Linked DNA regions of Rattus norvegicus. The protein of the gene in region 2 binds, or shares a complex with, the protein of the main gene of each other region. Links are inferred from orthologs where the notes say so. Each region holds a gene or a part of one and is shown on either strand. Other genes may lie near its edges.

What was found.
Region 1: the proteins of Xiap (region 2) and Casp7 are in contact, whole or in part, in a crystal structure (PDB 1I51), measured with the Homo sapiens proteins. The link is inferred for Rattus norvegicus from reciprocal best matches to the Homo sapiens genes XIAP and CASP7. Residues at the interface, in NP_001158.2 of Homo sapiens: His136, Ala137, Leu140, Leu141, Gly144, Gln145, Val146, Val147, Asp148, Ile149, Ser150, Asp151; in NP_001218.1 of Homo sapiens: Tyr230, Trp232, Arg233, Ser234, Pro235, Gly236, Arg237, Trp240, Glu274, Ser275, Gln276, Asp279, His281, Phe282.

Annotation. Positions count from the first base shown.
Region 1 is NC_086019.1:265,441,290-265,445,446, reverse strand, and holds the start of Casp7 (caspase-7), read right to left. Parts: upstream 2,801-4,157; 5' UTR 2,733-2,800; intron 1-2,732. UniProt on the Homo sapiens protein: Thiol protease involved in different programmed cell death processes, such as apoptosis, pyroptosis or granzyme-mediated programmed cell death, by proteolytically cleaving target proteins.
Region 2 is NC_086039.1:125,760,671-125,767,554, reverse strand, and holds the start of Xiap (E3 ubiquitin-protein ligase XIAP), read right to left. Parts: upstream 4,050-6,884; 5' UTR 3,966-4,049; coding exon of another isoform or gene 3,878-3,965; intron 3,602-3,877; 5' UTR 3,476-3,601; intron 1-3,475.

The DNA.
Region 1 (4,157 bases), on a different chromosome or scaffold from region 2:
AGTGGCAAAATTAAAGTTATCAAGTAACAACAGAATAATTTATGATTGAGGGCAGCCACACCATGAGATGCTGTATTAAACGGTTACAGCTTTAGGAAGGTTAGGAACCACCGCTGTAAAGGGAGAAATCTCTTCAGGCTGCCCTCTCAGATTTTGATCACTGTGAGGAAAAACCGACCAGTATATACCAGCTTGCGCTCCATCAGTACAAGGTCCGCAGCAACCGGCCTGGGTAATCACGGGCTGGAAGCTCTAAAATGGTGACCCAGAACAGACTACTCTTTCTAAATTGATCACCTCAGGTACTTATTATACTGACAGAAAGCTGACACAGGCCTGAAGACATAAGGAACCCACTCCTTGCTGAGAAACTATTGACTGCTAGGGGAGGGAGAGTCTGTGTTCCTTACGAACACTGACTCTGCTCCAGCGGATGACACAACCATGTCAGTCCTAGCTGGTGTCAGTGGGAGACTTCGCCATGTGTCTTCTTCACAATGCTCACACCGCCATCTGTTGCGAGGCCTAAAGCATCTTCCTGGTTGCCCTGAGGTCAACAACTTTGCTTCACCGTACACTCACCACCAGGATGTCCTGCCCCGTCACCACAGACCCACAACATCAGAGCAGACCAGAGAATGAGATGCCTGACACTGGGAGCTATAATACATCTTAAATGCAGGAGTCTAAGTCTCAATCCTTCCTGCTAACAGCCCACATCAGTGGCAGTGGACTTGACTCTTTAATCAGGAAGGCTAAGCACCCAGTAGCTTCCTCATCCCTGTGCTGATCTGCTTGAGTCTTGGCAACATTCAAGGATCTCAGGTAGTGACCAAGTGGGGTGCTTAACCTCGGTGACGTCATTACAGTCAGGCCAACTCTTGGTTTTGAGTCCTGGTTTTATCTCCAAACCCTCTGAGAAAGCCATCTCATCTGGGTTCAACAGTGCGGCCTGAGGGAACATCCTAGCATGACTTTTTGGTACCTTCTTCAGGGGCTGCAAAGAGCATTAGAGACAGTGCTTGCCCACCGTAAAGAGGCACGGGATGTCTTCGTTAAATGGCGTTAAGATGTGTGATGCCTGCTGTTATGGTTTGGCTGTCACTGGTCCCCCAGAGGCTCCTGGGTTGGAAAGCTAGTCCCCTACGTGAGTTGTGGAGATGGGATGCACTAAGGAATCACTGGGGCTCTGTATGTATTAGTTCCCAAGAAGTTGCTTAGAAAACAATACGTCTGGCCACTGCTGGGCTACCCCGAACTCCCCCTGTCTTACAGTGTGGCTGTTCCTATTTGCAAGACTTTGGCCACTGGGATACTGGGATGCCGCCTGCCTTGAGAGCTTCCCCAGAACCTCGAGAACAGGTGTGGTGTCTAGTTTTTTTATTGTTAAGTTGACACAGCCTAGAGTCACCCAGGAACAGGAAATCTCACCTGAGGAGTTGCCAGATCAGACTGGCCTGTGGCTATGTCTGTGGAGAAGTGTCTTGACTAACGACTGGTGTGGGAGGGCCCCACCCTCGGTAGTGGTGCCAGCCGTAGTCAGCTGGGTCCGGGCCGTGTATAAATGCTAGCTGAGTGTCATCAGATTTCCTGCCTCCAGGTTCCTGCCTCGACTTCCCGCAATGACAGACTGTGACCCGAAATAGTCAAATGAAATAAAACCTTTCCTCTCTATGGTCACGGTGTCTACCCCGCAACAGAAAGTAGACTCGAACAGGTACTGAGGGTGGGTCTGGCTACTGCCTGAACTTACATATTCCTGAGGAGGCAGGCTGCCCTTCCCTAACACAGTGACATCGAACAGACTCGCCTCCTGCCAAATTCACTCTCCCTTAAGTGAAAAAGTCCTGAGGCCGCCACACTACCCACCTGAGGTTCACAGGGTTAGGTAACCAGAGACTTTGCCCACGTTCTCTGCAGAAGGCCTTAACAGTATGGAGGGAGGGAGGGAAGGAGGGAGGAAGGGCGTGTGTGTGTGTGTGTGTGTGTGTGTGTGTGTGTGTGTGTGTGTGTGTGTGTGTGTGTGTGTGTAAGGTCAGGCTGGTCAAACTCTGAAGGAAGAGATAGCTTGTCAAACAGAAAACCTGGGCCTCGTCAGTACGCTCAGTTCAAGAGAAAGAACTGTGAACTACTTACAAACACCACCTGCGCCTCCCAGGAAACTTATTTTCCCATAAACCCGAAAGCCCAATGAGTAAAGATGAGGTGTCGCCTGGAGCCCGCACTGCCAAGTTTTTCACCATCTTAAGTCACTGCAAGAGTCCCGATGCGAAGTTCCCCGACAAGAAAGAGCAGTTCAAGCACACTTTGCCTTGGTCAAAGATCTGTGCACCTAACTCCCTCCTTCCCTGAGCATAAGTCACCAGGACGGCCCAAGATTCCCATTGAGTGGACCGGCGGCGCCTAAGCTCCAGGCCAATCTGACAAGGTAGTCCTTGCGGGTTCAAACAGCCACATCTACAGCCTACACCCGCTCTTTTTTCCCTGTTACATCCGGAATGGCACCGGATGTCGCCAGACCCCAGACCAGGAGGCCACGGGACGCCATGCTGAGCAAAGCCAGCGCTGGCTTGAGGGCATGGAGAGCCGGCAGCCTTCCGAGCCAGAGCCACAGTGCCTTGCAAGCAGGTTCTGCGAGCCTGCGGGAGGGAGGGCGACCCGGGGCGGGGACGCGCGGGAGGAGGGACCGCGCGGAAGAAGGGCGGGAAAGCCGCGATGGCGGCCCAAGTTACCGTTCCCACAGCGGCAGCCAGCAGCCCACGACGGCGTGCGTCCTCCGCGAGGGGCGAGGGCAGCTTTAGGGAAACTGAAAGTAAAAGTCCCGGAGGCGTAGGGGGAGGAGCGGGCGGGCCGGGCGAGCCGGGCGGAGCTGTGCCCGGGAAGCTGAGGGAGCGCTTTACGGAGCCAGCCGCGGGAGAAGCTCGCACGGGAAGCTCGAGCGGGAAGCCCTCGCCACCCACGTGCTGTGTCCCGCCTTCTGCAAGCTTTGGGCGACCCCAGCCGGATCGGGAACGGAGCGGGTAGAGCGCTCTCTACAGAACTGGCGGGCCCGCAGGCTCTGCAAAACTGCCCGCCAGAAAAATGACCCGGGGCTAACCTCTGCAAATCTGTCACGTGCTCTGAAAAATCTAACTACGAGCATTGTCCAGACCTCTGCAAAATTGGCCAGTGTCTCCAGAGGAGAGTGGTCCTGCAAATCGGGACCGTGTCCGGTGCTACGTATGCAAATTTCCCCGCGCTCACCAGAGATAGTGCTAAGAGATTCTAAAACTGTAAACGTCCAAAGTCCCACTGAGAGCGCATTGTACAAAACTGTCTATACAGCAGATTGACATAAAGATTTGACTTGCCTTCAACAGTGGGGCTCCTGTCTTGTCCTTTTCACTTTTTCCTAACGCAGTCTGCATCTCGACCAGATCCTGTGCACGACCAGTCGCTTTAGTCTGATGTCTTCCCTTGTGAAGGGGGATGCTAGGGCACGAACGCGAACTTCACCTTAAGCAAGTTTACACCTCCCAACCCCAGCTTGCATGGATATTGCACCAAAATCATTGCATGTATGCTCTCTCCCGTGTCAGGCACTAGGTATGAGGAAGCAGACAGTGAACTAACTTGGGTTCCTGTTCATGTCACGTCCAACACAGACAGACAGACAGATATGTCTGGGCACCCATCTGTAGAGGATTCCCATTCCTCACCTCCACCGAGAGTCCTCAGAACAGCTCATTCACTCACTCAAGAGAGTTATGGGAGAGAACTGTGGTTCTGGGCATACCAGAGATACTTGGCTTCACGGCCCTACAGGTCTCCAAAGCCATTAGGGCTATTTTATTTGCTAGTGTGCTTTTCCTTAAACCCCAGAGTTTCGGCACTATCTCTAAAATCTCAACCAGTGTGGGCACTTTCTGGATGAAAGACTCACCCCAGGCAAATGTGAGGGCATAACTACCTTAATATGCCTACTTTCCTTTTTATTTAATGCTGGTGTGGTCCCTGAACTGTCGAGGTAAATGTTGGGGTAAGCCGTGGCTCACAGAAAAATGATTTGCTTTTTTAAAACAATTCAACTGGCAATTCTTAAAAAAAAAATGAAGACTTCCATTGACACTATAATTTATCTCACTGTAAACAGTGACCTTTTCCAGGCTAGTCCTGAA
Region 2 (6,884 bases):
CATCCTTTAGTGCTTTTTTTCTAAGATGGGAGCTCTCAATATGTAGCCCAGGGTGTCCTGGAAAATGTTACCTTCCTGCCTCAATTTGCCAAGTTCAAAAATTACAAATGCGTATCACTATATGTAGTATGTAGTCATCTTTAGACCCATACCACAGTGCAGTGTCTAGCACATAATAAGTACTCAATAGATGTTTATTTTCTAAACCTTAGCTCCCCCCCAGCACTTAGTACTAGACGATTAGATTAAGCAAAACCAGTGAAATCTCATTATGTTATATTTAGTCTCCAATCATTAAATACAGAGAATATACTAAATAAATGTACAAAATGAAAGTTAAGGGGGATATCTGTGTCAAAACTGTAAGTGTTCTACTGAATTAGCTGCCACATGAAGTAAAATGCTTGCCCACTAAAATATGTCTAACTTTTAGCTAGCATAACTTTGTTATTTTACTTGGTCTCATTGAATGCACTAGAAAGCAATACAATTAATTACAGGAGTTCTAGACTAAGACAGTCTGTTAACAATAAACAAGATAACTCTGAGCAATTCATCTTTCACCTAAGTCTTCATTAGCCTTTCTGTCAATGAGAGTACAGAATTCAAGGGTGGGGATATGTCCAGTCTTTTTTCTTTAGATACTGACTTCAGAGCCTAGGGTATACTATGCTGGACTGATGCACACCCCCAAATCCTTTGAGGCTTTTACCTCCAACCCAAAACATTTACCATTTTTAAAATTGTATAACATGGGGGTTGGGGATTTAGCTCAGTGGTAGAGCGCTTGCCTACTAAGGCAAGGCCCTGGGTTCAGTCCCCAGCTCTAAAAAAAAAAAAAAGGGATCCTGGATCCTAGAAAAAAAACTGTATAACATGTCTGAGGAGTGATAATGAGGGCACAAAAACCAAACACTTAAGTACCAAACAATGCCACACAATATAAAAGTTTTATTGATTCTGATTCTGCTTATACAGGATATGATGTAGCCCAAGCTGGTTCTGAACTCTTGATCCTCTTCCTACCAAATGCACAGGTTACAAGTGTGAGCCCTGACTCTGTTTTATTATTTTACGTGTATGGGTATTTGCCTGCATGCATATATGTGTATCACATGCATGCAGTGCTCATGGAAGCCAAAAGCACCATTGAATCCTCTGGGACTGGAGCTGCAGATGTGTGAGTGCTGGGAATAGAACTCCAGTCCTCTGAAAGAGCAGCCAGGGCATTTACACAGAGTCAACTGTCCTACCCAACTTTGTTTGTGAGGCAGGGTCTCACTACATAGCCCAGGCCGACTTGGATTTGCAATTCTCCCGCACTGACTGCACAGTGTTGGGATTATAGATGGAAGGAAGCCATCACATCTAGCTTTCTTTCCCCTTCCTTTCTTCTACTGGTGTATCGTCATTGTACAAAATAGCAGGTTATTTTAGTTTCACAAATTACATAATACATTTTGATCGAATTTTAACATTTTCTTTGATATGCTCAAAAAAAAAAAAAATCACACCCAGAGCCCTATAGATGTTAAGCAAGTATTTACTCTACTATACTGAACTACATATACCAATACAATTTTTACATGCATAACTTTTTAAAAGTAACTTTAATCCCAAAAGATTCTGTGAGTCAGATTTATCTATATGACAAATTTGATGTGTGAGTTTCATAGTTTGCTATACTATTTGATCATCGGGAGGCTCACCATATGTATTTTTTTTTCAAATAAAATAAAGACTAACCTTTTTACCATTTCACATGAATACAGAACAATTGGTGAAAGCCAAAAGAGAAACAAACACTCAAGTAATTGAGCCTGTTCTGTTAAAACAGCATAAGCCATACTGGATTTTACAATAAAAATCATTGATAAATGGATGTTCATAAATACTGATTGCAAATACTTATGTTGATATACCTCTATGTCAGCTTTAAAACTTTTGGGAATAAAATCAAACGTGTTTATTAGAAAATATCCAAACATACAAGGCACAGGAGAAAAGCAAAGGTTTTCATTCCTCTTCTTCGGAAGTAACCAGGGTTAGCATTTTTTCTGTATCTCTTTCAAGGATCCATGTGACCCAATCCAGACAGATCTAAGCTTCTGTTTCTGTGTCTGTAGCTATAAATCTATCTGGCCTAAAATGTTTTCCATTCATAAGTTATGGGGGAAAACAATCCCAGGCACAATCTTCACATACATGTTCAGTACACTGAAAATGGTGCAGACATTGAGACAAAGTAGTATTATGCTAGACATAAATGTTAAATAGAATATACTAAGATATTTGTTTAGAGCTTACATGAAGCAACAGGAGTGTGGTGGCCAGGAAGCCAGAAACCAAGTTCTAATCTAACTGGCATGGTAACCTTAGACAAGTCATGAAATCCTGAGCCTTAGTTTCTGCTTAGTAAAACAAAAGAGTTTGAGCTGAGATCCTTCCCAACTCAAAAATGGTATAAGTCTAAGATGGCCGGCTCTTAACAGTGTTCTCTTGAACTGACTAAAAAAAAAAATCCCATTAAGGAGAAAACGAAAAATAGCAGTTTCTGGTCTATTTCTACAACTTGTTCACTATTAAGGTATAGATGGGATGTCAGAAGTAGTGTTATAACTGTACTTGAAGGCAAAGTAGTAGATTATTAAAATCTGATGTTTGTTTTCCCCAAGGCTTCCATTAATGCTTTCCTTTTTAGATGGGGAGAGCCACTGCTTAGTTTCAGCAATCACTACTCCCCTTGCTTAAAAGAAAAATACCCCACAATTCAAGTAAACTGTGGAGTTAAAATAATGAAACTGAAAGTCAAAGTGACATTTTTTTTTCTTTCAGAAATATGCTGGGGAAGTGACCAAGGTGACAAAGAGAGGCAAAAATGACCAGCTATTTCCTCCTCTGGAAGCTCTCTGGCCCTCATTCTTTTGGGTTCATACCACCCTTGCCAGAGACACACCACCCTGCCCCATACAAGGCATCAGATTCGGAGGGCAGGGAGGTTGATCGTATTTTTTTTTTTTTTTGTAATTATTTAACTAGATTTACCTTAGGTGTCACGAAGTTTAAGGAGGCTGACCTGAAGGCTTGAAGCCAGCCACCCTACCCACGGCTTCCAGGGGGCAATCCCGGGAACCTGGACAGGGAGCCCAGGCCAGCATTCCCCTAGGGCGGGCGCGGCCTTCCCGCCCAACTAAACAGAGCTAGCCCAAGCGGAAGGGAGGGGGAAGAAAAGGAGGGAAAGAAAAGGAGGGAGGGAAACGGAGAAGGGGGAGAAGGAAGGAGGGGGAGAAGGGGGAGAAGGAAGGAGGGGAGGAGGAGGGACTCAGAAGGACGAGGGAGGGGGAGGAGAAGGAGGGAGGGAAGAGCAGAGCAGAGGGGAAGGAGGGGAGGGGAGAGGAGAGGGGAGAGGAAAGGGAGGGGAGGGGAGCAGAGGGAGAGGAGGGGAGGGTGAGAAACCCACAAGAGCTGTACCCACCGCGCCAAGCAATCCAGTCCTAACTAACCGCCGCGGGCGACGGTTCCCGAGGGGAGGGTCCCGGAGGAGGGGCGGCCCGAGCCCCGATCAGGAAAAACACAACTCTGCTGGGCGGCGGGCCCCGGCCTAGGAGAAGGAAACGGAAGTCACTATGTCTCCCTCCCTCTCCCTCCCTTGGCCTTCCCAGGCAGGACAGTCCCTTTGGAGAAAACTCGAAGACCGGAACCAAGTGCATCCACGTCAGGACTTTAAAAAAAAAAAAAAAGCCAACCAGTGCAGTCCGCCAGCTTCCCGGGCGCGCCCAGCCACTGGCCTCAGGCCATGTCCCCCCCTCCCCCCCGAACTCTGCTCCCGCCCGGCAGAGCCCCTCCTTCTTTCCCACTCCGCCATCTTCCAACCTACCTCTCGAGCCGAGCAGCCCTCGATTAGCGTCGCGCTCGCTCGGGGGACCGCCAAGGTCCCGCCGTCTCGCGGAGCCGGAAGGGGGCATCCAAAAAACCCCCAGTCCTCATTATGCAGCCCGACCCCCCCCACCCCCCCACCCCGCCTCCCCAGCTCCAAGCCAGAGCCTGACCCAGCGGCTGCACATGCGCACAGGTCACTTCTCAGTCCCCGCCCCCAACTCCAGCATTTCCTCTTTTAGCATCCAGGACTTTTTCCCCCCCAACACACAGCTTTTACCTGGACTCTGGAGTGAGGGTGGGGTAGGGGAATACAGGTAAGAAGATTAAAAGCCAGGGGAAAAGGGCCCCAGCATATCGGTTACCAGGGACTCTGCTAGGTATCTAACATATTCCTTGTCATTTTGAAAACCCTGGAAGGCAGGACACATCTATTAAGTGCCACTTTACAGGGGAAACTGAGACCGGGAGAAAATAATTATCCCAGTATCCCCTACCCGACAAAAAAGTAAACTGATATTATAGAATCGGTTGTTTCCAAATAGAGGAAAATGGAAGGAATGACAAGAAAGGGAGACAAAGAGTGAGAGATTTAATTTGTGAAGAAGGAGAAATAATAGAACGAAGATGGAAAAGACACAGAAAAAGACTGTACAGCAAGTGGTGATCGTGCTATATGCGTGTAAGGTGGTCAGATAAACGTATATTTAGATTTCAGGAATTAATGGCTAGTGGAGTAAGATGGATTGTGTATATTTAAAAGGAGACGATCATGAGTACCATCTGTCTAGTTAACTAATGCTGCACTTGATGAAAAGGAACTTGGAAAAGAAGTAAAAGAAATATATTTGACTCTTAAAACTTTTGCTAACATAATGTCCCTTCTAATGCAATCTTTTTCAAAATTATTGCATTGGTTTACTGTGTGAGGTCAGAGGACAACTTGCATGTGGGTTCTAGGGAAGAACTAATGTCCTCAGGTTGGTGGCTATGCCCTTACCCACTAAGCCATCTGAGTCCCAGGCCCTGGGGTGTGCTCTTCTATCTCTGAGAATTACATCTGAATTATTACAATGATAGTAAATTCAAACAAGGGCTGGGAATGTAACTCAGTAGTAGATCACTTGTCAAGCACACGCAAGGTTGAATTCAAATCCCATCCCTGTCGACGAAACAACTGCAGGAAAATACTGCTCTCTCACCTCTCAGAGCACCCTTAAGTATGTCAGCCAGTAAAGCTCCATCTTTTTCTCTTTAGATGGGAGTCTTACCGAGTCACCTTCAAATTTATCAACAGAAGGATCAGGAGTTCAAGGTCATCCTCAGTAGGAATTTCGAGGCCAGCCTGATATGCAAGATACTGTATCTCCAAAAAAACAAAAACAAAAGAACCCTGTTCCAGGCCACCCTACCCTCGGTTGTCTTGATAGTGTCCACCGTGACTTCACTTCAAAGTGACTGCAGTAGTCAATTGTACTCATCTCTGTAGGAGCTGAACCGTCTGACTCAACCCTGGATCTTCCTGACCATAGGGCAGTCTGACTTCTCTGTTCTTAGGTTTGCTCCCCTTCCCCCACAGTCTAGCTTGCATGCTGCGGAGTTAAATCTTTCCATTCTGACTTCAGGATAAGAGTAAATCTCCTTAGCCTTAAATTCACTCTCCTCCAAGACAGTGTATCGTGTCCTCTAAGAGAACGGTGTCTTCTAAGAGAACTACTTAATTTGCCCTGGCTCTTACCAGTTTGCCTGCTTTCTAGCAATTTATTGAAACTAATTCCCTTACCTGAAGATTATAGTCTCACAGTTTCTATTATTGTTTTTTCGTTAACTTAATAATAATTAATAATGCGGAAGTAGTGGCGTGTGACATATTAGGTGAGGCCATAGAGACCTGTGGTTCCTGCCTTCCTCTCTTGGATTGGTTGCTGGGGAGTAAGCCAGGCATGGTTTGAGTACTAAAACAAGGTGAAGCCAGGTGTGATGGTTCATGACTGTAATTCCAACACTCAAGAGGCCAAGGCTTATTCAAGGTGAAGCCAGCCTGGTCTACATAGTAAGATAAGAAAGGAAGAAAGAAAGAAAGGAAGGAAGGAAGGGGCTGGAGAGATGGTTAAGAGCACTGACTGCTCTTCCAGCGGTCCTGAGTTCAAATCCCAGCAACCACATGGTGGTTCACAACCATCTGTAATGGGATCTAATGCCCTCTTCTGGTGTGTCTGAAGACAACTACAGTGTACTCATATAAATAAAATAAATAAATCTTTGGAAAGAAAGGAAGAAAGAAAGGGCAGACAGAAAGAAAGACAGGACAGACAGACAGTTGGCATGTGTTTGTAATCTAGTCCTTGGAGGTGAAAGTGGAGGAAGGAAGACGAGGATTTCGAGATCAGCCTTGGCTGCATAGAAGCCAATCTGGGCTACCTATCTCAAACCCCACTCAGAAGAGAAAAAGAGGAAGGGAAGGAGGGCAAGAGAGCATCCCAGGATCTGACAACCCTAATAAGAAAATGAAACCTAACCTTTTCTCATCTTTTCTCTTCCTGGACCAGCTAGCAACCACACCTTCCTGACCATGTAAGACACTTTGAAGTGGATACTTCAGTCAGATAACTACAATCTCTTGAGATTGGGCATGTTTCTCATTTGGTAATGTGCTTGCCTAGCATGCATGGAGCCCTGAGTCTGAGCTCCAGGATCACATAAATCTAACGTGTTGCTACACACCTGTAACTCCATCTCTTGGGAGGTATGGGCTCCTGGTTATCCTCAGTGACATACTGAATTCAAAGCCAGCTTTAGCAACAGATACAAATGAGACCCTGTCTTTAAAAGAAAACCAAATCAATAGAACAAACTAACCTCCCCAAACAAAACCATATAGCCTCTTGAGAACCAAAGTTAGAAGCTTCCGTATGAACCGCTCTCCTAAATTTGTGTGCAGTTTCTTTTCCTTTCTCCTTTCCTTTGTATGTAGGCCAGACAACTTCAGACTAGGTTTCCCAAGAGCT